Linked DNA regions of Drosophila melanogaster. Changing the gene in region 2 together with the main gene of any one other region gives a genetic interaction. Each region holds a gene or a part of one and is shown on either strand. Other genes may lie near its edges. The genes, in order: Sin3A, Ret, stg and bon.

Evidence for each region.
Region 1: of Ret (region 2) and Sin3A, changing one enhances a phenotype caused by changing the other (phenotypic enhancement), as found in Drosophila melanogaster (2 studies listed by BioGRID).
Region 3: of Ret (region 2) and stg, changing one enhances a phenotype caused by changing the other (phenotypic enhancement), as found in Drosophila melanogaster (one study listed by BioGRID).
Region 4: of Ret (region 2) and bon, changing one enhances a phenotype caused by changing the other (phenotypic enhancement), as found in Drosophila melanogaster (one study listed by BioGRID).

Annotation. Positions count from the first base shown.
Region 1 is NT_033778.4:12,585,475-12,591,496, forward strand, and holds the start of Sin3A (Sin3A), read right to left. Parts: upstream 3,679-6,022; 5' UTR 3,242-3,678; intron 599-3,241; 5' UTR 238-598; coding exon 1-237.
Region 2 is NT_033779.5:21,195,133-21,200,995, forward strand, and holds the start of Ret (Ret oncogene), read right to left. Parts: upstream 3,631-5,863; 5' UTR 3,521-3,630; intron 365-3,520; 5' UTR 1-364. Other genes in the region: CG31624 (uncharacterized protein), read right to left, coding at 4,269-4,805.
Region 3 is NT_033777.3:29,251,139-29,258,321, reverse strand, and holds stg (string), read left to right. Parts: upstream 1-2,521; 5' UTR 2,522-3,393; coding exon 3,394-3,449; intron 3,450-4,360; coding exon 4,361-5,744; 3' UTR 5,745-6,179; downstream 6,180-7,183. Other genes in the region: CG45544 (uncharacterized protein), read right to left, coding at 1,425-1,658. UniProt on the Drosophila melanogaster protein: This protein functions as a dosage-dependent inducer in mitotic control. It is a tyrosine protein phosphatase required for progression of the cell cycle. It may directly dephosphorylate Cdk1 and activate the Cdk1 activity.
Region 4 is NT_033777.3:20,591,013-20,597,058, reverse strand, and holds the start of bon (bonus), read right to left. Parts: upstream 3,921-6,046; 5' UTR 3,216-3,920; coding exon 3,015-3,215; intron 1-3,014. Other genes in the region: Pus1 (pseudouridine synthase 1), read left to right, coding at 4,463-4,502, 4,566-5,051, 5,107-5,383, 5,448-5,973.

The DNA.
Region 1 (6,022 bases), on a different chromosome or scaffold from region 2:
AGTAAGGATGCGATGGTGAATGGAACCGATCCCGCTGATGGTGGCGTTATGAGCACTGGGCACGACGGTACCAATGGTAACGCCCGTCGTATTGACGCCCACAGTAGCAGTGCCACCGCCGCCGGATGTTGGCCCACCTCCAGTTACGCCGACGACACCAACGCCCACACCTCCGGAGGTCTGAGGAACGGGTCGTGTGCCAAATTGCACCTCGTCTACGCGAGTGCGTTTCATCATCTTTTTTGTTGCTCTGTCCTCGGCGGAGCGTATAATCCTGTGCTGCTGCTTCTTCTTTCTAAGCACTTTGTTGCTCCCTGGATCCCTGCCCAAGTGCAAGGACTCTGGCTGCTCTAGGTGAGTGGCCGCCCTCTATGAGCGTATGTAATATGCAACAAACGGTCGGGGTCGCAACTCTTGATCTTGGACTGCTCGTGAATGCGACATATGTTGTCTATGCATTTGGTCGCCCCGCAAGCGGCAAATGCGCTCGAGTTCTAAGGTAGAGAAATTGGACTGACGGCTGGTTATCTGCTGCTGGTGTTGCTGCGCCGGTGATTCGCCTCTGCCACGTAGCGTTTGGAGTTCTTTCTGAATATCACTGCAAGCAAAGCAAGAGAAGGGAAACGGTCATACAATAATGTCGACATTAAATGTATAAAAACCCCCAAGAATTAGGTTTGGGTCTATTTTTAATGAAGTTAGTCATCATTAAATTCTGCATTACTGGAACAATCTTACACATTAATACTAGAATTTATTCACTGACACTGAAATGAAAGGACAAATATGCCAAATATACTTTTCCATATATTAAAGACCACGAGTCTTGCTAATTTTCCCAAAACATGTTAGCTAGTATAGCACAGCTGATTGATCAATTCGGTCTATATCTTCACAGATATCGGAACGATTGCATATTTCAACAAGAAAAAAGGTGAACTAAAAAGCCACGGGGGAATTCTTCTTTTAGCCGTATCACAAAAACTACAGAGTGGAGAACGGTGTCTCTGTATTGGGTGTTCTGGATTCGGGGGAGAAGAGTGAGATGAGGGACAATAGGAATGGAATGAAGCAGTGGAGCTGTGACCAATAACAACAACAGCAACCAGAGATTGATACATATAGACGGGAAGGAGATCGTGGAGTGGAAGTTGAGTCTTGGAGGAGAGTGAGTGCAAGGCATAAGGAGGAGCGCGTAATTCACTTTAGTGTGTGTACGTTCAACCGGAATTGGGCGCGCGCTTTGTTATTGCTTTCAGCGGTACAGTAAAAACTTCCTAAGCGAGCTTTCTGTGTACACCTCCGAGTGTGTGTGTATGTGTGTACATATCAGTATTTGTGAATGTGGAAGGTGCCAAATGCCCCATGCACGACATCGGCTTGCATAGAATTCAGACGCACACATAGAAAATATTTATATATCGATACCGCCAAGGGGGCGGGCGGGTGGTGTGTGAGAGCTGCTGGTACATGTTCTGTATCTACAACTTACAAGAATAAGAAGAAGAAGAGTCAGAGGTAACAGCAGCAGCAAACGCAACAATGCAAAGGTGGTGGTGGCGATACGGTGGTGGTGGTGCAGCCACAGAGAGAACCAGAGAGAGCCGCATTTGTTGTTGAGGCGCAGTATATGGATGATTTTTTTTTTTTCAAAAAGGTATTTCACCCGTTTGGGGCCAAACTCACACACGGACACAGCAAGCATTTGGCGGGCATTCGAGAGAGAGAGCGGCAAAAATGAAGAGAGCGCAACGCTGCGCAAACCAAAGACCGCGAGCAAATATTAGGTGAATGGAAACCGCCTAGAGGATCATCCTGCTCCAACTAATTGAAACACCCCATCGAACCAACAGCTGCCCCCTTTTAGCATTTGTAAACAAATATTGGAGCACAGTACAGCCGCACAAAAGCTTTAGCCCTCGTTCTCTCTCCTGTCTCTGCCACCACCAACTATCCTTTAATAAATGAAGGTAAAACAAGTTCGCTCTTTTGAGCTCTCCCAACTGTCTTTGTTGTTATTGTATTTTTGGATCCGCCATTAGTGCATACCAAACACATTTACTCGCTTGCTGGTGTGTGTGAGTGTTTGACGAGAGAGGCTCCAAATTGGGGCGTTGTGTGCGTGTGTGTGCTTTGGGGAGACATGTGGGCAAATTTTCCCTCCATTTTTTCTTTTTTTTTTTTTTTGATTCAGCCCGCTCTATTACGTGCACACGTATAATGTTATCTTATCTGTTTTGTTATGTGTATACACAGCACAGCAGAATACGCAACACAAAAGGCAGCCAGCGGAAAATATGTTAAATTTTTTGCAAATATCACTAGCACTCGGTTTTGAACAACTGCAATACGAATCGGAATCAACGCGAATTAATATTTAGTTTTTTACTGTTACTTTCTCACTCTGGCGCACTAACACAGCCGCGGAGTGGCGCTGCGCTATTAATAAATTTTGCAAATAAAACATATGGATGTGTAGAGAAATATGTACAATATATTCACATACATATATACTATTTCAGCATGAAGAAGCAACGGCAAACGTTTTGTGTAAATTCAAAACCGAATGAAAAAAAACAGGCGGAGCAAGAACAACAAACGACGGATGGGCTGGGGAGCATGAAGAAGAGGAGCAAAAGGAAGATCTGAACAAAAAGAGGGCCACAAAATGATGCTCTCATTGGGGAGCCATTTAAATGCACACTCACACTAGGCTGCTCTCGCCAGTACATGCGAATGGCGCATCAAAGCAAAAGTCAAGATAAGCGCACGAACTGAGCAAAGAACGAATCAACAACGAAAATAAAACGACACTACGTTGAAAAAATACAGTCAGTTCATAAGCGAACCAAAAGCAATGGTTCAAAGCGTATGTATGAGTGTGGCTCTCCTCTCCACAACTGTGTTCAACTGTGTGTGAGGAGAGCAGAAACTGTAGAGGCAGCAGCAGCAGCAACACAAACAACAACCACGTCCCCGTCGACGACTTTTTGTCTGTGCGCCTTCTATATGTATTCGCTATGCCATTGTTGTTTGTGTGTGTGTGAGTTTGTGCGTGCGTGTGTATATAAACCAATTGAAATTGACCTAACCTAAAAATGTTGTATTTTCACAAGTTTTCAGTGGCACGAACGAAAATATTGTTTGAACTCGAATCCGCACTCCAAGTGCACTTGAAGGATAATGCTACTCTGCAATTTTCACGCCCCCCACAACCGCCCACCGCCCATATTACACTTACATCAGCAATAAGCAGTTAGCTTCGTCGGTTGATATTCGGCTGTGTGTATGTATATTCGAAATGTATGTATATATGTACGGGGCGCGTATGTATATTTACTACAAAACTGCCGTTGGTTTTGTGGTGTTATTGGAAACTTTCACGTTTTACGCAGTATTTTGCACATGCAACTACTATATTCGCACTCACTGGCACACCGAAATCTTTATTTTCACCGTTTTCTTTTCTTTCAGTAGCTGGGGCTTCGTTCTCCAGTTCAGTTTAAGTTTAACGCTTATTTCAATCAATTTGCACTTGGCTCTAAGACCTTAACTAGATCACACGGCTCGAATTTAAGACATTTTCTTCTCGATAGATTGCTACTGCTATTCTATTCACAAATTTTTGGCGAGAGAACGTTTTCGTACATCTCAACGCCGCCGCAAACATTTTCGATTAAAACAGCGAAACGCGACGGCCAGTCATTTGGAGTCAGCAGAGAGAGCGAAATGAGTGTAAAACGGAGAGCGTGAGAGCGCGCGCGCAGTGTTGCTTTGGAATTCATTTTATTCTGCTGCCGCAGCTAAAACAGGGTGGCAACTCAACGGCGCAACAACTAAAATCCTCCGTCGAGCGCGTTGAAAACACATCAGTAGCTGACGGCAAAAATAGTTTATATACCATTCATTACCTATTAGCAAATAATCACAATCAGTGGTTATTTTTATTAGCGGTGAGCGGTACCGCATGCAAATAGTCGCAAAATGGCGCTTAGAATTTGGATAAGAAACGAAATACGTGAGGCTTACGTAAGTGCGAGGACCAACAACAACGCTGGGAAGAGAGAAAACAAGTTGTTTAGAAAACAGGGTGTACCATTGTCACCCAGCCATGTGGTGGAAACGATGATCAGAACATCTGGGTAAGACACCCTGTTTGAGCCAAAGAGAGAGAGCGGGTGTGAGAGCAGCGCACCCACACAAGCGCAACGAGTATACAGCAGATAGCGACGTCGGCAGAGCGTTTTAGCCGACCATTGCAGTACATATGTGAAATCGACGAAACCGAAAATCAGAAACCAAACGGACCACTAGCGAGCTACAACTCTGCCACGGCTACACTTTACACACTCATGTACTCCTCCACCACCTCACTCGCCAGCGCACTCACACACAGACGCGTGCGTGCGGAGAGAGGAAGTAAAAATATGAAGACAAAAAAAAGCAAGTGCATCTCACCATGACAATGGCGGAACCATAAAAACACATGTTCCCATCTCGAATCGAACTGAATTCGGCGGCCAGCTCCTTCACAAAATAAAATAATACAGACAAAAAATCTGTATACGCGCAAAAGTTGAGCTGCTAAAACATGGAAACCTTGCAGTTATCGATTCGTCTCGCTCATTGCGCAATGAAAAAAATGCAGCGGGGGCGGAGGATACGAGAGAGCCTCTCTCTTTGTGAGACACCTGCAGCGATAGGAAATGCAAATCCGCCTTCCACTTTCCAGCTCGAAAGTTCAAAGTTCACATGCAACTAACTAGCTACTGGGTGCAGCGCATGTCCGAGGTGCACCAAAGTCCCTGGACCAAACAAAAAAATGGCACAAACCAAACTCTCCGACTTCCAGGCGCCGCAGGAAGGTTTGTTTGCCCTCCCATTGGGTATTATTGATGCTTTTTTCTATTGATAATAAAGCCAGGTGGTCTAGCATGTTCTAATTATTCCTGTGCTAATTTCAGATCTGTCATGGAATGCGGCACTAGGAAATATTAACTGACGCTGATCAAGTGATATCTGAAATGTGGTAAAGAGGTTCCTGTCACACGGACCCATTTCTATAAAAAAAACTAATTAGTTTGATATTCGTACGTGTTCTGCAAATTATCAGATGTTTTTAACTCTCTTGAGTCACATGATATTTAATGTGATAAAAACTTTTTGTTATTTATTGTTTGTTTGTCCTAAAAAATTGACAACACAGTAAATGGAAAACTTTACTATAAAATATTTAACTTTAGTATTAATTCTCATCAAAACTATAAATCCATTTAAGGATTAGAGAACCCTCTTCTTTATGTAAAAGATTATACACAAATTTACCGGTGAGCCAAAATGCGTGTTGGATCAAAATTAAGAGCAATTAAAAGGTTTTTAAATTAAAATAACGATTATAAATTTGGGAATAGGCTTACACGATTGAACACAACGGCTTCAGTGTTGTTTACTAATTCAATACTTATTGAAATGATAACATAGTATATTTAAACATACAGTTTAACACTCAAGTTTTAATAATATAATGATGAAGGCTTGAAAAAGTTACAACTAAATATGTGTAAAAGTGTTCAACGTCTAATACACTTCAACTTCGTTCCGACCATCAAGTTCAAGAGACTTGTTCGTTGGCCTCTGGCTAAAATACAATTGCGAATTGCAAACAATTGGTTGGCGACGCGGCAAGTGTTTTTTTTTTCTCGGGAGAAAGATCGAGAGAAGTGTGGAGAGACTGCCAAAACTGGGGAGTTTGAGTTCAGAAGTAACTTGTTTTTCAAGTTTTCAAACAGCCAAAACCAAACCAGACTTAAAAGCCAGTCGAAACTTGAGGCGCTTCACAAAGAAAATTTGAGGAAAGCACTGAGAACGTGTTTGTGTGTGTGCATTACAATTGGACCTCACAGAAGCAGTGAGCCCGATTTCAACGAATTATTTAATTAGAATCAACGTAAACCCGCAAATTGAAGGCTGAAACTGCTGTCTCGCTCACCTTGTGCACAATCACACATACGCGAGCACCAAA
Region 2 (5,863 bases):
GGTTACTTTTTCAAAAAGTCAGTTATCAGTCGGCAATTTTCGCTCACTCGTAGACGCACATTACATATTTACACATAGTGAACGTCGCTTTTAATGGGTTTTCTCTACAAATTGTCGCTATTTGTTTGATTTTTTATGTTCCGTGTTTTTTTTCTCTGTGATGGTATTCTTTTCCAATGCTGTATCCAATTAGCCACGTTCGATTCCGTCACAAGCTTAATTACTTTTGCCACAAATTGATAAGTAGCATTTATCAATTAATGTGCGAAAACCAGAGCAGAAAATATGAAAAAATAACAATGAGTTTTGCGGATATTTAGACCACGAACATTAATAGTTTTTCGTTTTTGGTGCAGAACGTAAGCTTTTGAAAACAAGTAACAGAGGTTTAGGTTTACCAAAATAACAATTTGGAAAATTAATTTTTTTTATTTCAAAATGAGTTTTCGTAAACATCAATGTACCCACTGAAAGGGTATGACTGCTAATTATTTTTATTGATAGCGGCGCCCACGCTCCCGTTTGTCATTTAAGCAATCTAATTTATCACTCAATTAATTCCGCACAAAATTCTCAAGAGCCGCGCGGTCTACGAATTCTGATTATTGCAATTCAAAATGAGCTTTGAATTTGTTTCGCATATTGATATTGTTATTAAATGGTCTTCGGTTGCTATTTTTGGCCAGCGCCAGGTGAGAGGCTTATTGGCGTTGCTTTCTGTTTTTTGTTTTATATTTTTCTAATTCTAAATTTTAAAAGTCGAGCGCCTCGGGTGCGTGCTATTTGTTGCTCTTATCATTATTAATTGTTCTTTTTGCCGATTCACTCCATGTCGAATGGCTTTCAGTTTGCTCAATCGGTTTTTAAGTGGAATAATTTAATTAAATTATTTGGGCAAACAATGTGGGTTTACTTCACAATTTGCTCTGGCTGCCTTAAGTCAAAAAGTTGAATGGTTTTTGAGACAGTTTCGGGCTTAAAATTACCAGAGTTTTGTATACAGTGGTAATGCTAATTTATTAAGATTTCTAAACTTCCTAACCAACTGCCGAAAACCCTGATGAATTTTGAATACGAAAAACAATAGAACTAGTTACGATAACTAATTCTATGCAAGTACCAAGCAACGCTCAACGAGGACGTGTCAAGGAAAAGGCAAAAAAAGTTTGTGGACGTGCGAGTACTCTACCTACTCCATACCCCACAGAGTACTCTAGGTACTCCACTCCACATCGCTCCAGTGCGGATGGATGGACGGCATATGTGTGGTATCCAGCGGTGCACGGCAGGTGTGATAAAAAGAACCCGAAAGAGACAATTGCGGCGTGAACTACCCGCTGGCCAGGGGAATGGCAATGGAAGATAGCACGCATAATTCAAACGAGCTCAAAGTCAAACAACGTGATAAGCAATTCACAAACACTGGCCGAAAAGTCGAATGGGAAAAACTGTGTAAACTGAAGCTGAAACTCATTGAATTTGGATCATTTCAATTTATTGGTAAATGGGATTTGCTTTAAGTAATTTCGGTATTTTGGTACTTAGTACAACACTCTTCTATCCGTTTTTCTTAATCATTGCAATCACATTTGCTTGAAATAAAGCACATTTTCTAAAGATAGTTTCCGATAGCATGGCCAAATGTGCGATTATCACAGTTTTATTCGCAGTGTATTCAAAGACCGAGAGACCGACTAACTGACTGACTGACTGACTGACTGGCAGTCCAAGTGTCTGCTGTCTACTTTTCGTCTGTGGGCCTCTTCAGCACCTGAGCACTTTAAAGTTCAAATCTTTTGACACACTGGGAGCTCAGTTGGCGGATGCTAATAACATACGACTTGACACAAAGAGGCTTTTGCAGCAGACACACACAGAAACTCAGAGACATTCACTGGAAGCCAACCGGTTGCCAACTGGAGGGGCTCTCAAAGGCTCGGGCCATGGCGTTTCCCCATTAAAGGTTAAGCGCGACCCAGCCGATCCGGGTGGACTTTTAAGGTGCGTCTATAGCCGTCCTGTTGCTCGAAACGCCAAAAATGGCAATTTCCATATAAAACTTATGCGAAGCCGGCAAACTTACAAACATCCGACGACCGCAAGAGTCAAAGTACGACTGTGGAGGTTCTTCAGTGCCAGTGACTGCCCCGACTGTTTTTTAACTGCACTGCGACAAAAAAAGATTCTAAGAATGCGTACTGGGAGCTTAATTTTAATCAAATGTTTGCCTTTTGCATTGCTTTATCATAATGAAGAACATTTTGCATTGCAAAGATTTAATGAATACAGAAATGTAAAAAAAAATTTTTTAATGTGTCGTGTTTAAAAATATTATGGCTTACACAATAAAAAAAAATGTTGCTTCATTTGGTTTCATCGAATTATTGCTACTTTTTCAATCTTTCCCCTAACTTTAAATGGTATTTTATATATGAGTATTGGTATAATGAGCTGTGAATAAAAACCAAATAGAATAATTCGATGATATTATTGACTTAGGCTTGGACCTTTTCCAGTGCCATCGGCTTGTAAGTTATTTTTTCGTTCACAGACATCTACGAATTGAAAAAGAATGCCAGAGTAGCGTCAATAAATTTGGCCTGGAAGCTTAGAGCCTGGCTTGGATTCCATTTCCACGAAAAAAGGTTCTGGAATGACAGCCGCTTTAAAGGTGTGCGTGATGTTCTTTTTGATCCAACACAGTCAGCAATAGCAAGTATTACAAACCCTAATTGATCCCATTGATTGAGTTTTTAGACCTGATCGCTTGTAGACACATTCGTAAAATGCAAATTCACATCGCGACTGACATTTGCATATGCTAACAATTAATTTTCTGTCACCTAGGTAATCAAAATAAAACATTTTCCAATTAATCCCACATTTTATAATTTGTAAGATTAACATTTTTATAAGCTCTGCCTCCACCTGAGCAAACGCAAGCACGAAAGACCTTAACAGGCATTTAAAATGTAGAAGTACAAGATTAGATATCTTTTGTATTAATTAAAATAATTATCAATTAGAATAAACGCTCAGACCACCCACACTTAGTGTTTTACTATCAAAGATGTGTCTTTGCATACATACATATATGTATATATATATATATTTATAGCTAATCTGTTATCCCGCCACTTCAGCTTTAATATATTAAAATATTTTCCTCAATAAACTGCAATTACTTGAAGTTGCAAATTGAGTAAACTAATTCCACTTCAACACGCACGGCTAAATCACAATTATCTGATGCCAATCTACACGATATACTGTATTGAGTTGTCAGTGCCACTAGACGTGAGGATATTGGCTGCATTTGGAAAATCCGAATCTGGAAAATCTGGCCATAGATCGCAAATAAATTTCAAAGTTCGCAACATACGTAAACCACGATCTTGATTTTGATAGACACGATTTATGGAGGCTTGCAGCTGCTGCAGCTTTTTACAGACTCCTTAATTGTTCGACTCAAACGGCAATTATTTATGGGACAGTTTCAACAGTGTAATTAATTAGCCACCTCTCTTTTCCCGTTTTCGGGCAGCTTTTCCGCGGAAATACTTTTTGGTTTGTGGAAAATCGCTTAAAGACCAACCGAACCGCTTTGCACGAGCTCCGTTTGAAAAATGAAACTGAAACCGGCAGCCGGCAACTCCAAAGCCGCAGAGCCCACAAAATCGTAACGAAAACTTGACTAACGAAGCCGCTTCGTGTATTTTACCCGAATGTATGAATTTTCCACGATGACGGCACGTCAGCACACCCTCGCAGAGTTTTCCATTTTCCGCTGCACTGCTGGGATACCCCTCCTCCAAACAACATAATTCCACCGACTAATGGCGTTTATGAGATAATCAGATGTGCATGTTCCAAGGCTGGGTAGCATATTTACCCTTGGAAACATGATCTCATATCAAGCACACTTTCCTCGACAGCTTCTTTTCACTGGGTTTGGGGAAAATATTTACTCAAAATTGGGAAAGGGCTTGCGTTCTAGTTTATCTCGCAGTAATCAGTATGTTGTTGTGGGTGTTGTTGGTCTTAGGCAAATCTTAACGATAAAAGGGTTTACCTGGCCACCCCAATACAGAGACTTTACATATTTATTTTTATTTAGTGTGTGCGTGTGCGAAATGTTAAGTGTGGTCAAATGTGTGGGTCTGATTTCTTTCATGCCTCTAGGCTTCATAAGCATCGGGAACTATTTCAACATTAGTGTAAGAAAGGAACTAAACAATTTGGAGTAAGATCATGGGTCCGGGACGATGTTAGCAATTGCAGGCGGGGCACACGGGCTTGTCCCCGTCGATGGTAAAAGTCTGCGAGGTTATAGGATTCTCGCATTTGTTGCACTGGAAGCAATTGCGATGCCACTTCACGTTCATGGCGAGCACCGCTGAGTCCGTTATAGGCTTCTCGCACTTGGCGCACCTGGCAGCAAAGAGGTTCTCGTAATCCTGTTTGCAATAGGGCTTGCCGTCGCGCTCATAGAACGTTTGACTGGCGAGCGGCTTCTTGCAGGCACCGCCGCAGCAAAAGCAAGCTTCGTGCCACCTCTCCCCCATGGCGCAGATGGTTTTTTCAAGGATCGGCTTCTTGCAGCCGGCACAGGTGTAGGTGTACCGCTCCACGAAGCACTTGTTGCACACTGGTTCTCCGCTCTGAACATTGAAGGTGGCATCCAGGATCTGCTCATCGCAGTGGTGGCACAGGAAGTGCTCCGGGTGCCACGTCTTGCCCAGGGCGGTGATCATACGCTTGGTGATGGCCTCCTGGCACTTGTGACACACAATGCTCTCAGTCATTTTGGCTTCTCGATTGGTAACTGCTAATAAAAAATGATTTTTAATGCGCATTACCAAGGGATTGTTCAATTACTCTTTTTTGATTGAATTGCTCGTATATATCGTAAATTGAGGTTAAAATACAAAATGTACAAAACAGGGCAGCTATCGATTATTTTATTGAAAGAAACAACGGAAGATGGCTATGGAACGATAAACACTGGGCAACGCAAATATTAATGAGACAAATTATAATTCTGTACTTATTTTAAGATTGGGTGTATTTCTTACTGGGTTTGTCGCCTGTTTCACTACTTCCTCTTTTCGCAGTGTGTTTTTCCTAGTTCGTAATTGTACTGTTCTCATATATCAAAACAGTTGTCACAGGGCCACCGTTGTTACTTTACTTTCTATTAGATGTTTCACACAAAATGGGAGCACAACAACAAGCAATAACGGGTATAATAAGGGTATACTAGATTCGTTAAAAAGTATGTAACAGGCAGAAGGAAGCGTTTCCGAACATACAAAGTATATATATTCTTGATCAGGATCAATTGCCGAGTCGATCTAGCCATGCCCGTCTGTTCGTATGAGATTCAGCATACAAATTCTAGAGACAACGATGCAGCGCAAGTTTGTTGGCCCATGCTGCCACGCCCACAAGCCGCAAAAAACGGCCACTCCCACACTTTTAAAAAAGTCTTGATATTTTTTTACATTTCATTTTTTATCAATTTGCAAAAAAACTTTTTGCCACGTCTACTCTAACGCCGTAAAACCGCCCATAACTGCTACGCTAACATTTTAGAAATTTTGAAAATTATTTCTTCATAATTCCATAACTTTTTGCCACGCCCTAAAACCGCACTAAATTGCTACGCCTACACTTTTGAAAACTGTTGATATTTTTATTAGTCTTGGAAATTCCTATCGATTTGCCAAAAAAAACTTTCTGCCACGCCCACTCAAACGCCCTAAAGCCAAAAACTGCCACGCACTTTTGAAAAATGTTTAGATTTTTCTTCGTTTTATTGTTTGTCTTGGCAATTTTTATATGTATACCAAAAGCACTGTGG
Region 3 (7,183 bases), on a different chromosome or scaffold from region 2:
TCTCTTTCTGCTGAGAAATCTCAGCGCCGCGCCTCCTGCCTCCTTCTTCCTTGCTCCTGCCCCCACCCCCTCCCTGCTCGTTCGTTCCTCGCTCTCCTCTCCCTCTTTCTTCCTCAGCTCGTGTTCTGGAATTTGCGCGCGCACGTTGTGAACGCTCCTTCTATCCTTCCCCACCCCCTCCTACATTCCCCTTCCCCCATCGCACACACACACACAGCAGGACTAATTCGGCCTCCCTGCTGTTCATATCCTTCGCTCCTGGGCCCGATCAGCTGATCGAACATATGAGAGAGGGAACCGCTATCCCTGTCTAACTGTTTCTTCGTCCTGCATTCTAATCAGTATCTGTGTGCGCACCTCTTCTCTACTTCTCTTCCATTCGCACCTTATGTACCACGGGACTTCCCCTGTCCATACCATTGCCCCTGCGTTTTGTTAGGGGAAAGGGGAAGAGTAGGGGAAAGAAAATTGCATACAAGAAAATCTTGATATAAGTCGAAAGAATTGAGAAGATAATATATGCAATATACTAAGATAATTATATTGCTAAATAGTGTGCACTTACCAGTATGTACTATGCAGATTTATCTGAAATAAATTAATAATTAAATTATAAATAAATTGCATTTCAATAGCTTTTAGAGGGATGTTGAAAATTTGCGCTTTTTGTATCTCTCACCTAGACATCTGATCGCTGGCCCCTCTTTGCGCTTCCTTCTAATTGCATTGCATTGTCTACCACACACAAACACACGCGCGCGAAAACTGGGACCGCCCAGCCTTTAACCCATGCCTGCCCACCGCACCACCCTTAACCCTTTTGGCAGTGATTTGCGAAAAGCGCGCGCGCACAAAAGTATCTCAAACGCTTTTTTCGCACACTTTGCAGGCATTTTAATGCACAGACGACCGAGAAAAAAATAAAATAAGAGCCGATGCTCAAAGCTCACTTCTTGGAATTTCGATTTACAATTTAGCTCTTCACTTTTTGCTGGTCCTGTGATTTTTTTTGTTCGTTATGCTGTTTTTGAGGTCCCCCGCTATTGTTGTGCCCCATTCCCATTTCCATTCACATTGTTGCTGCAATTTCTTTCTCCGCAGCCTATTCTCATTCTTTATCAAATTTACCCACTCACACACGCACACACACGTGTGTGAGTGTGCTTTTGCATACGCTTTTGATTCCGCTTCCTCCGCTTTGCCCTTTTTCTGGAGCCCGGCGATATCACGGTGGTATTATCTGAAATCCATAATTGCGAGGCTATAATTGGAATGAATAAAAGCATAAAAACTGGATAAGAATTTGGTAAGTAAAAATGAAAATAGCAGAACAACTCGAGCTAGAAACTACTTTTAAATAGTAGTAGTAAGTTCACAGATTTACCTCTAGTATATGTATTTTGCCACACTGTGCGCTCGGATCGCTATGAATGAGATTGGTTCTGAGCTTTTTCCTTCCCTATGCGCTTTTTTAACTTGTTCAAAACCACTTTATGATTTCTGCGTCCTTCTCGTCGTTTTGTGCTGGTTGTTTTCCATAAAGATGATCCTCTCGGCTCTTCCTGCAGCAACAACAAAAGCTGGCCAAAGGAATTCAGCGGAATGAAACCGTAGCTCATTTGGTTGGTGGCTTCGGCTGTGGTTGGTCCCGAAATCATTTACTTTCGCCTGCTCTTCAAGCGGTGTGAATGATATGGCCTGGTTGCACTGGCCTGTCCTTCATTTGTTTGCCGCGAACCTTACAAAAACACACTCGAACTGCACAGCACAGCCCATGGGTGTTCGCAAACCCCCAACCCTCCTTAGTGAACCCCTCGGATCCTCCAGAATGACTCCCGCAGGGCATCGGCGCATATGTAACTCGATTTTTGCTTTAACTTTGCCGCGATTGCACACAAACGAGGGGCTACAGTGGAGCTTCGGCGTGGGCAACTAGTCTGAGCTTCACATTATCGATTATTGGTCATATCGCATGGTTGACATCATGATTTTCCACGTGTTTGCTACTGTTAGTAGTAGTTTATCTAGCTTAAGATCTGTGTTTGTACGGATTCTCATTAAAGACACACGGTCCATCGTGTAGAGTGCTACCTGTGAATGGATCTCTGTGGCTGGAAGCTTTGCTCATTTAACGACATTGGCGTCTACGTCTGCAGAACACAAAGGAGCCACGCCCCCTCCACGACCGCCCATCCCGCCGGTGCGGCGATCATATGACTGCGGCCACTACCTGCTGATATGTAGTTTTCAGGGAGGGGTTACAAGGGGGGACAGGGGGCAGCAGGAATGCGTGGATCTCACATTATTACCTGCAAACGACACAATCGATGCCGCCTTGAAATTCTGCTTAAAGATTCGCGCAGTTCTTCAGCGTTTCCTCTTCGCTTCTTGGGGCTCCACACTATTTTCACATGTGTTCGGTTCGGAGCCTCCTCGGCTCCACTTCGGCTCCAATTGTGGCGACTTCGGATCCCCTTCGGCGGTACGCGTCGCGGTATAAAAGCTCGCGCGCCAAAATCAGTGGCCTCCATAGAGCTGGCGACCACCAAGGCGCCAGATTCTCCTCGTTTCTCGGGACATTGGTATTCGGTGCGGGATTTTGCGATAGGGGAAGTGCAGGGGAAAGGATTCTACCTGTTGCCGGCACTCTTGTGCTCCACATGAGCAGAGATTTCCAAAACTGAGTCCATATGATCCTGATTCTCCCATTTTCCCAGTTTTCCTTTTCGCATCGCACATGGCTCTGGCCCCGTCCCCGTTATGTGTGTTGGTGTCGCTCGTTGCCCGTCTCCCTTCCTCTTCTATTGGCACTTCTGGGAAGGATAGGAAGGAAAGGATAGGATGGGAAGGCAAAGGAAAGGAGCTGAGAACTAAGAGCTAAAGAGCGAAGCAGAGAGAACAAAAAACGCGCGCCATCTCGCTCGCGCCCATTAGCTCATCAGCTGATCGTGATCGGCCGGGGTGCGGTTATAAAAACCAGCTGCTCGGCATATTCAGCACATTCGTTCTCAGTTCGTCGTCGAGTCAACAGCTCTTCTTGTTCAGCCTTTCGGTTCCTCGTTCGGTGAATTGAGATTGTGCGGTTCAAATTATTGAAGAAAAAGAAAAACCTCGCACAACCACACTCCGAAATACAAAACAAAAAATCATGCTCAAACGGACACATTAACAAAAAAAAAAAACAAAAAAACCTAAATTAACTAAAATGCAATACTAGCCAAAAACCAAGGACTACCATCTCAAATTCTAAAAACAAACTGTAAATGAGTGCAGAGTGACCAAGAACAAATTGTGTTTTAGCAATTTCTTCGGCTTCAGACTCGCCAGCGAAATCAAACATCTTCGGCTCTTCGAAGCAACCAACGCAACACATAACACAACAAAACCAACAAAATGCTGTGGGAAACTATTGTGGAGGAAAACAACTGCAGCATGGATTGCAATATCAGGTAATTATGCCGCCCAAGGATTAGCAACAGCAAACCCCTTTTGCACCAGGAATACCAGTTGAAAATACGCGATAAAAAGTGCAAGTTCAAGAGCAACAGCAACAACAGCAAAGCAAAAAAAAAATACAAAAAACAGAAATGTAAACGATGGGGCCAACAAAAGTAAGAGTTCTTTTTATCACGCTCGGCACGTTTGCTTTTTGCCCGATTTTTATTTTGGCGCTCAGCTGTTGTTTTGTTGCTCGCTTGCCGTTTTTCATTCATTAAACCGGCTTCCGCGAGGCTCCAAAAAAAAGCAGCAGCAAAAAATGCTTTTTGTCCGTCGTCCGTCAGTCAGTCATTTTTTTTTTTTCGATTTTTGTTCCTTTTTTCCTCCGTGTTCTTTGCGGTTCTTTGTGGCGTGTTTTTGTTGTATTATCGCTGCGCTTGCGTGACGTGTGACCCAAAAGCAAAAGTCAAGCTGAAAAGCAGATGCATGCGAAAAGCAAAAGGGAATTCCATTTGGAGAACCGCTAATGCTTAAGTAGAATCAAGAAGAAGAAGATAAGGCGGTACGCAACGGTTCCCTCGCAATTTTAGGGAATTGTAAAAATTATCAAAAAAAAAAAAAATGGTATCAATGATATCGTGTGCGCAAGTCGAATCCCAAAAATTCCAGTTTTCGAAGCTGCATTAAAGTAAATTTCTAGTTCAGCTCCCTCTTCACCCAATTACAACAACCCCTCTCTGTATTTTCTCGGGTATTTTTGTTGTTTTTACACCACCAACGCCACCACCACCACCAGTTTGTCAGTATTTTTAGCTGGGTTTAATGACCCGCTCTTGCGAGAGTTTAGGGAAGCAAAAGCAGCTCTCTTCCTCGATGCCGAACAGTTGACTAATCCTCCCCCTCTCTTTGTTTGCTCTTGCAGTAATAACACCAGCAGTTCGAGTAGCATCAACAAAATGAGTGGATCTCGTCGTGCTCGCCGTTCCCTGGAACTGATGAGCATGGACCAGGAGGAGCTGTCGTTCTACGACGACGACGTTGTGCCCCAGGATCAGCAGCGATCGGCCAGTCCGGAGCTGATGGGTCTGCTCTCGCCGGAGGGCTCGCCCCAGCGCTTCCAGATCGTCCGCCAGCCGAAAATTCTGCCAGCTATGGGAGTATCAAGTGATCACACGCCGGCGCGCAGCTTCCGCATCTTCAACAGCCTGTCCTCCACATGCTCCATGGAGTCCTCCATGGACGATGAGTACATGGAGCTCTTCGAGATGGAGTCGCAGAGCCAACAGACCGCCCTGGGCTTCCCCAGTGGCCTAAACTCGCTGATCAGCGGCCAGATCAAGGAGCAGCCTGCTGCCAAATCGCCAGCGGGTCTGTCCATGCGCCGCCCTTCGGTCAGAAGGTGCCTCAGCATGACGGAGAGCAACACCAACAGCACCACCACCCCACCACCAAAGACCCCAGAGACTGCCCGGGATTGCTTCAAGCGCCCGGAACCGCCAGCATCGGCCAACTGCTCGCCCATCCAGAGCAAACGCCATCGCTGCGCCGCCGTTGAGAAGGAGAACTGCCCCGCACCCAGCCCACTCAGCCAGGTCACGATTAGCCACCCCCCTCCACTGAGGAAGTGCATGTCCCTGAACGACGCCGAGATCATGTCCGCCCTGGCCCGCTCCGAGAACCGCAACGAGCCCGAGCTAATCGGCGACTTCAGCAAAGCCTATGCCCTGCCCCTGATGGAGGGTCGTCATCGGGATCTGAAGAGCATCTCCAGCGAAACAGTGGCTCGCCTGCTTAAGGGCGAGTTCAGCGATAAGGTGGCCAGCTACCGCATCATCGACTGCCGCTACCCCTACGAATTCGAGGGCGGCCACATCGAGGGAGCCAAGAACCTGTACACCACCGAGCAGATCCTCGATGAGTTCCTCACCGTCCAACAGACTGAGCTGCAGCAGCAGCAGAACGCCGAATCGGGACACAAGCGCAACATCATTATCTTCCACTGCGAATTCTCCTCGGAGCGTGGACCGAAAATGTCCCGCTTCCTGCGTAATCTGGATCGCGAGAGGAATACCAACGCCTATCCGGCGTTGCACTATCCCGAGATCTATCTGCTGCACAACGGCTACAAGGAGTTCTTCGAGTCGCACGTTGAGCTGTGCGAACCACATGCCTACCGCACCATGCTGGATCCCGCCTACAACGAGGCCTATCGCCACTTTCGCGCCAAGTCCAAGTCCTGGAACGGCGATGGCCTGGGCGGTGCCACCGGGCGGCTAAAGAAGTCGCGCTCGCGACTGATGCTGTAGGTTGTGGGATGATCGTGCAGTTCGTTATCTAAGTTTGGGTGTTATCGTATTGTATATATAGACGTATAGGGGTATTTATTTCATGCTGCTTTTAAGTTGATTTTTGTTGATTTTCATTTGTTAATCCGTAGACTAAGTTTCTCGCACACGACGCAGACACACACCCGACACTCGCATTCATGCAAAACAGACAATTTCATTTGGAATTTAACGCTTTTGTTTAGTTATTATTGTTTTTATGGTTTCGGCTTTAGTTCAATTATTTAAGCACTCTAGTTCAAATTTTAAAGATAACCAACGAACAAGCAAACGAAAAATGTGCATTATAATCTAAAAACGTGAGGAACCATGTCATTTAAATTTAAGAGGCCGATCCCGAAATCAGACCCCTTAATCATTTGTAGATGATAAGCAGAACAAAAAATGGCTAAAAACAAAAAAAAAAAAAGAAAACAAATATCACACAAAAACAAACACGCTCATTAATTTCATCCATAAAACTTTATTTATAAGATCTATCGTTTAAGAGTTGAAAGTTGTAAACTTCTGCTAGGTACAATTTACGCTTATTATTTGTTTATTTTTATGTAATCCGTAACCGAACAACAAGGCACCGAAACGCAAATGCAAACAAGAAAACAAATATTTTACCATGTAATGATTATTATTTAAGCAAAGCTTATTTTTGCATCAAAAAAGGCAATATTATTGAACAAAGACCATCAATTTTAAATATACATTAATACACGACGAAAAAGAACTGAAATTCCTGGAATTTTTATCATTCAAATGGCGCCAAATGCGCATTATGTGCGGGATTTCGGTACTCTATGGGTTTTCACAGAATTAACAACTTGAAATTGGCGCGCAAAGCGAGTAGTTGCACTTTGTAAATGTCAGAGGGCGCTGTGTCCGTAAAAAATTGAGTATAACAGCGGCGACTTTTTGGCAGACTGTTATACGAAAATTTGTATGTCACTTTATATTTCTTTAAATTAGAGATGGACACGTGATGCTTTTTTTTTTAAACCCACGCATACGATATACAAATACTCTTTTAAATTTGTTAACTTGTTCTATAAATTGAAGGCAAAGCCTAACACTTTCCGAAAATCGGCTTATGATAATCGAATTTCAGTAAATAAAGCAGATTATTTTCGTTTATAGCTTATGTTCCAATTCCCTTTCACACCCATTTCAATTTCTCCTTAAAACTATCAAATCTTTAATCCTCAAAAAAAGTGTGGATGAAAGCCAAACGAGGTTTGTGGCAATTAGCCAAAGGCAGGGCCCTAGCCGCAGTAATATTTCGAGTTACATGCCATTTTCCATGCCAAATTAACCCTCTGAAGACTGGCATGTAGTAAATATAATAAATTATAATTAGCAATTCAAATAATCAAAGTTAATTCGAACCAACAAGTAAATGTATAAATAAA
Region 4 (6,046 bases), on a different chromosome or scaffold from region 2:
ATTTCTAATCCTAAATTCGTTCAATCGGATCACAAAGGGGATGGTTGACTATAGATGCCATAAAATCCCAGCATTTTAAAATCCCGATGTCTGCATTAATGCCAGGTAGTTCGAGTAAAGTGAAAAGAGAGTCATTTTCCAAGATCTACCCGCCCTTATTTCAGGGTAATCAAGTTAATTAGAAACTTTACTTTTTTGTGCATTTAACGACTTTTATTTTTGGGGGCTGGGGTTTCCTAGCACCGGCGTCTGGCCATCGGCACTTTGCCTTCTCCTCGTTTTGCTTTGCTTGCATATTCTCATCAAATTAAAGTTAATTGTACATCATTAAAGGCGGATTCTAAGAATTCGTTTCGGGTCTCGTCGGTATCTAACACAAAATGGCGTCGTACGATTTTGGGTTTTCATTTATTCCGATGTCAAGCAATTTAATTACAACCTGTCGCATGCATGGGGTAACACACAAAGACATGACTTCATGAATATGTATGTACGACAAGCGTTCGTACATACGTATTTATGGGAGTATTAAATATGGCCTCATGGAGGGTAGGAAAATGCATTTAGGTGCAGTGTTTTTGAGATGACATATGGATGCCCGCCAGCGGCAACCTCCCCATCAGCTGTCACTTTTAATGCCGAAACCCGCCATTTTGACAGGAGCTACAAATGAATAGGTTTCTCTTTTCAGTTAAGCTTCAGTGATTTTGAGTGTTTTACCGAATCGGAAGTATAAAGGTAAAAAAGAAAGTCTCCACAAAAGCAGACCTTGTGTTTATGAATGTATAAAACCTTTCAAGCTAATTTTAATTAAAAACAAATTAATAATCATTTGAGTTTAATATGAGCAGAGGTATCATTGTTTACTATATATAGGAAAAAATTATCCGTGAATTTTAAGTCTTCTCTCTTTATTGAGAAATTCTTATTATGTTTTTCGCCCATAAAAGTTACTTAACGACATCATGTATTCCATGTATTCATGAGTAGGTACAGTTAGTTTTGTGAAGTCATGCATAAATTAGAATAATTTACTCGATGAAAAGGAAAAAAATGCCGTCAAGAGAAGAATTAGCATTCAAATCTAAAGGAAATCTAAAGGATCGCATAATTCTTACTGGATCATAAATAATTCTTTGATAATTCTTTTCATATTAATTATTTAACTATTCCGTGCTTGGCAGTTTCTTAAGTCAGATTGTTTTGTAGTTATGTACATGCATGTATGAAAATCTTTAACAGGATTAATAATCTAAAAGCTATTCCTTTGAAATCCCCATCATCATCCATTCTGAACTCCACACCTTGCCTCGGCGAAGTACTTTCCACTTGATAGTTTGCCCGCATCAGAAATGGGCATTAAGTGATCTGGAGGGGATTCAGGCGGGGGGGGGGGGGGGACTGGGCATGGAGTCTGGGGGTCTTAAGTGCCCCCAACGACCACAGCAAACACAACCGTTTGCATGATTGAGGGACGGATTGAATGAGTGCATGTCATTCCCAATCCCTGGTTGGGGTTCAAGAGAGAGTGGCCACTCCAAAAGGCCCACTCTAGGCGAACATTTATTTGCACGGTTGCAGGAGAAGTTTGAGTCTTTCATACAGTCAGGCTTCCGTAACTAGAAGTATCACATGCCGCATAGAAAGTTAGAGCTCGAATTTTTAATTACATACATGAAAACGTGTTTGTTTTATTTAGCACACATAATAAAATATCGTGACCAATTAGTGTCATCTAAAGCGGTTATCATTTGTGAAAAACATTAATTTTGTTTTATTGTAATCACAAGCCGTTGATTTTAATTCATAATGTTAGTGTTAAATGAAACTTTCAAATTGCCCAATTTACGTTGAAAATAAGGTAGTTATATTCTGTATGTCCCAAAATTATATTGGAAGTTCAGTTAAGGCAAGTTATCTGGCTGTACAGTAAGTAACTAATACAATGAAAATAAACAAAAAGGTGTAAAAGCAATTCAATAATTCTTTAGATTGAAGTAGTTAAAATATTATAGTATTTTTTTATTTTTCAGGACAATTATGTTCAAGCTTTCCACTAGGATGATCTACTTGGGTTCCACTGTAGCTTAAAGAGCAGCTCAAGCACGACGGAGAGCAAACAAAACACAGTAGAGAGCACACACACAACCACACACACTCTATTGCCGCTCATCTGGAGAGTGGCAGCTGCATGTTGCAGCTGATCTGCAATTGCAAGAGAGGGAGACCATCTTGACTTAGCCCTTCCACGTAAGTGAAAGCGAGGTAGCGACTGTCTAGAAACAGCTTGTTTTGCTCGCACTCATAGGGGAATCGAGAACCATCGGCACGAGACCCTAACTCACTACACAGTAAAAAAAAAAATTCTCAATCAGTAAGCTAATAATTAATGTTTAATTTGTACCTTTTTTAATTTAATTAAATTCTTGCATTAAGTTGGTATATTATTTTTCATTTTTTCATATAACAACTTAAAAATTTGTATATTAGAACTAATTTTAAAGTTGATTCAACGTTCGATAACATCACATTTCTTACATCTTAACTGGTATATCCAAGATTAAAACTGCATAGTCATATTAATTTTAAAATAATAGAAAACTATATATACACATATACTGTAAAATAGAGCAAAGTGCACGCCGTTTTTCTCACTGTAAGATCTCGGACTGGGCCGTGAAAGTGAAACACAACAACACTTGCCATTGCGCGCTGTTTGTTTGGTTGTGTGAATACGCTGCTTTGTTTGCCTTGGCCTGGGAAAAAGATAACAAACGCTTTTTGCACGAGACTCGATTCGAAACGCTTGATAAGGAGGACGCAGCACGAGCGCATCAAAATCCAACCAAAACAAAAGTTTACACTGAGCAGACTGCGCAGAGCAGGGGAATATGTGTATTGAGCCGGCTGTTTGTTATCAGCCGCAAGAGCACGTGTGATTAGGCGGCTTTAGCTAACCTCAACTTGGCGTTAGCTTATAGGTAACGAACGCGTGATACGGACTAGCAACATACCCTTTTCTCGGCACTGTCGCAGGGGTTGCTCAGACTCAGCGAAGAGGAGCTCAATGACGAGGTTGTGGGCGCACCGCTGGCCGTGTTTGGTGTGCTCATCTGGGGCAGGGCATCCGTGGGCACGGCATCCAGCTGCTCCTGCTTGATCCCGGCGATAAGCGGCAGGAAGTCGTTCTTTAGCTGCTCCAAATCCATATCCATGTTGGCGAAGTCCTGCGATTTAACCGCGTAGGCGGTTGCTGGCGATCGTTGAAATTAAAACGTGGGCGTGCTAATTATAGCAACTGATTTTTGGTTGACTGACCGACCGACCGAATGTTTCCCTAAAGGCTGTCGCCTTGAAACGGCATGACTATTGCGATTATGTTGCGGTATTATTGTTTTGGAATTAGTTGGGTAGTTAATCCATTCCAATGCTTACACGCACGCACACGCACAAACACACACAGGGCGCGCGCACCAATACACAGGAACTACACGAGAGCAGGCAAAAACAACGATTTGTGCTTGTATGGATGTTCACAAACGATTTTTCGCTGATTCTTAAAGTTTTGTTCGTAGTTGACTCCTCTTCAATTGGGTGGCTAATGCATTTTAATTTCACCTTCGACTTCTGGCTTGCAAAAATATTGGGTTCTCCCTCTCTCTTTCGCACAGAGCGACACAACTTTCGTTTTACTTATACACGACGTTCGCTCGAATTTCGCTGCTATTTTTCGGTCTGGCCGTCGATTTTTCCAGCGATTCGTGCCGCATTTCGTCCATACGCGGCTGCTATTCTTTATTCGCGCTGCGAGCGCGCTCTTAGTGCGGTTTTATTGGCGTAATTCGCTGCGAAAACACACGGTCTCACGGCGTTTGCTCTCGTTGGACGCTTCTTCTGTACAAAAAATGTTCAGCCATTTTGGATTCAATTAATTCATGTCGGCGTTGCCAGTACGACGGCATTTCGAGGGCTGTTACGCACGGCCGTGGAAACGTAAGCAGCTGAGGTCACACTAAACACGCGATCTGGCAATACCACAATTGAATTCGCCGTTCATTTCGTAAAAAATCATATTAATGTTGTAATACATGGTCAAGATGCCATTTATTTACAATTTAAAACTAATAACTTAGCCTGGTATTAAAAGGTTATAGTAAAATATAACATAATTTTTAAAATAAACTTGTAACGTCTTCGTTCTGTTAAGTCATAACGTTACGTAAAGCTTTGAACATTTTTCTCCACACAGCTAATTTAAAACTTAAGTAAATCAAAAGTAGCATTTCGGAAACTCAACTTAATTATTGAGCTAATTCAAAGAACGCGATTTTCGAAAAAAACATATTTGTATTAGCCAAACAGAGCTGTTAAATAAAACAGCTGATCCGTAACAGAGCAAGAAGAAGAAGCACAACCACACGTGTGTGAATTCCTCCACTTTAAATCCAGAATTGTTTACTTAATGTTTTTAAGACGACTTTTAAACGACTACACCAAGGCAGGTTAATTATTAGTGATCACACCTCCAATTCGAGAATTTATAATAATTAATTTTCTTACAATAGTTCGCCTGAAAACCCTTTGCAATCCCTGGAATCGCCACAAATCCTTCGCCGCAGCGATGTCAGAGGCTCTAGATAAACTGGAGGTGGAGAAGGAAGCCAGGAAAGAGGCCAAAGAACTGGAGGGCGAAGCCGTGAAGGACGCCAACCGCATCAAGAGAACACTTAAACGCAAGAAATGGGTCGATTGGAAGGAGCAGGACGAGAAGGATGCCGCCAACGGCGTGAAGCGAGCGCCGTTCGATCCCGCCGACCGGATCAAGCGCAAGAAGAGCGCCATCCTGCTTAGCTACTGCGGTGCGAACTACTATGGTATGCAGCGCAATCCCGGCATGCAGACCATCGAGGAGGAGCTCTTCAAAGCCATGCTAAAGCACAAGTGGATTACAGAGGACAGCTTTGAGCAGATTCAGATTTCCTGTTTCCAAAGAGCGGCCAGGACCGACAAGGGCGTCTCCGCCGCCCGCCAGGTGTGCTCCGTCAAGCTGCGTTAGTTTACTTATTCTATTTTACAAGACAATACTAAACCTATTCCTTCCTGCAGCTGAGGAGCTGGACCTGGAGGCCTTCAATGCCGATCTGCCGCAACAGATCCGTCTGTTTGGCGTAGAACGCGTGACTAAGGGCTTCAATGCCAAGGATCAATGCAATGCTCGGACCTACACCTACACACTGCCCACCGTGGCCTTTGCTCCGTTTGAGGAAAAGGTCGACGACGTGCACGACACCTTCCGGATTTCACCAGAGCTGCTGCAGAAGGTTAAAGAAACCCTGAAGCTCTACGAGGGCACGAAGAACTTCCACAACTTCACCAGCAAGAAGTAAATAAGCCAGGTTTATACTTCATTTCTGCTCCAACTAATATTTTGTTTACTACCCTTGTAGAAGCTTTCTGGATCCTTCGTCCAAGCGCTTCATCATGTCCTTTACGAGCAGCGAGCCATTCCGGAGTCCCCAGGACATCGAATTTGTCACACTTAAGGTTAAGGGTCAGAGCTTTATGCTGCACCAGATTCGCAAGATGGTGGGTCTAGCCATTGCCATTGTAAGGGGGAACACGACGGCGGCCACTTTAGAGCGGGCACTGACGGAGGAGCGTCTGGACCTGCCGATGGCCCCTGGACTGGGCCTCGTGCTGGACACAGTGCACTACGAGCGCTACAACGATCGCTACGGCAAGGACGGCATCCACAATCCGCTGACATGGCAGGCGCAGGAGGCGCAAGTCCAGGAGTTTATCGAGAGGGAGATCTTTAGCCAGATCTATAAGACGGAAGCCGAGCAGCGTAACATGCTCGACTGGATAGGAACATTGCATTATCACTCGTACGACACGCGGACGGAGGACGCGCCTCCACCTTCCTCCGAAGACAAGAAGGTTAAAGGTGGTGATGACGACAATGACGAATAAGATAGATTTTTTTATGAACATTAACAAATAAAATCCAATCAATTTACACTTGTACAATAAGGTAAAATGCAAA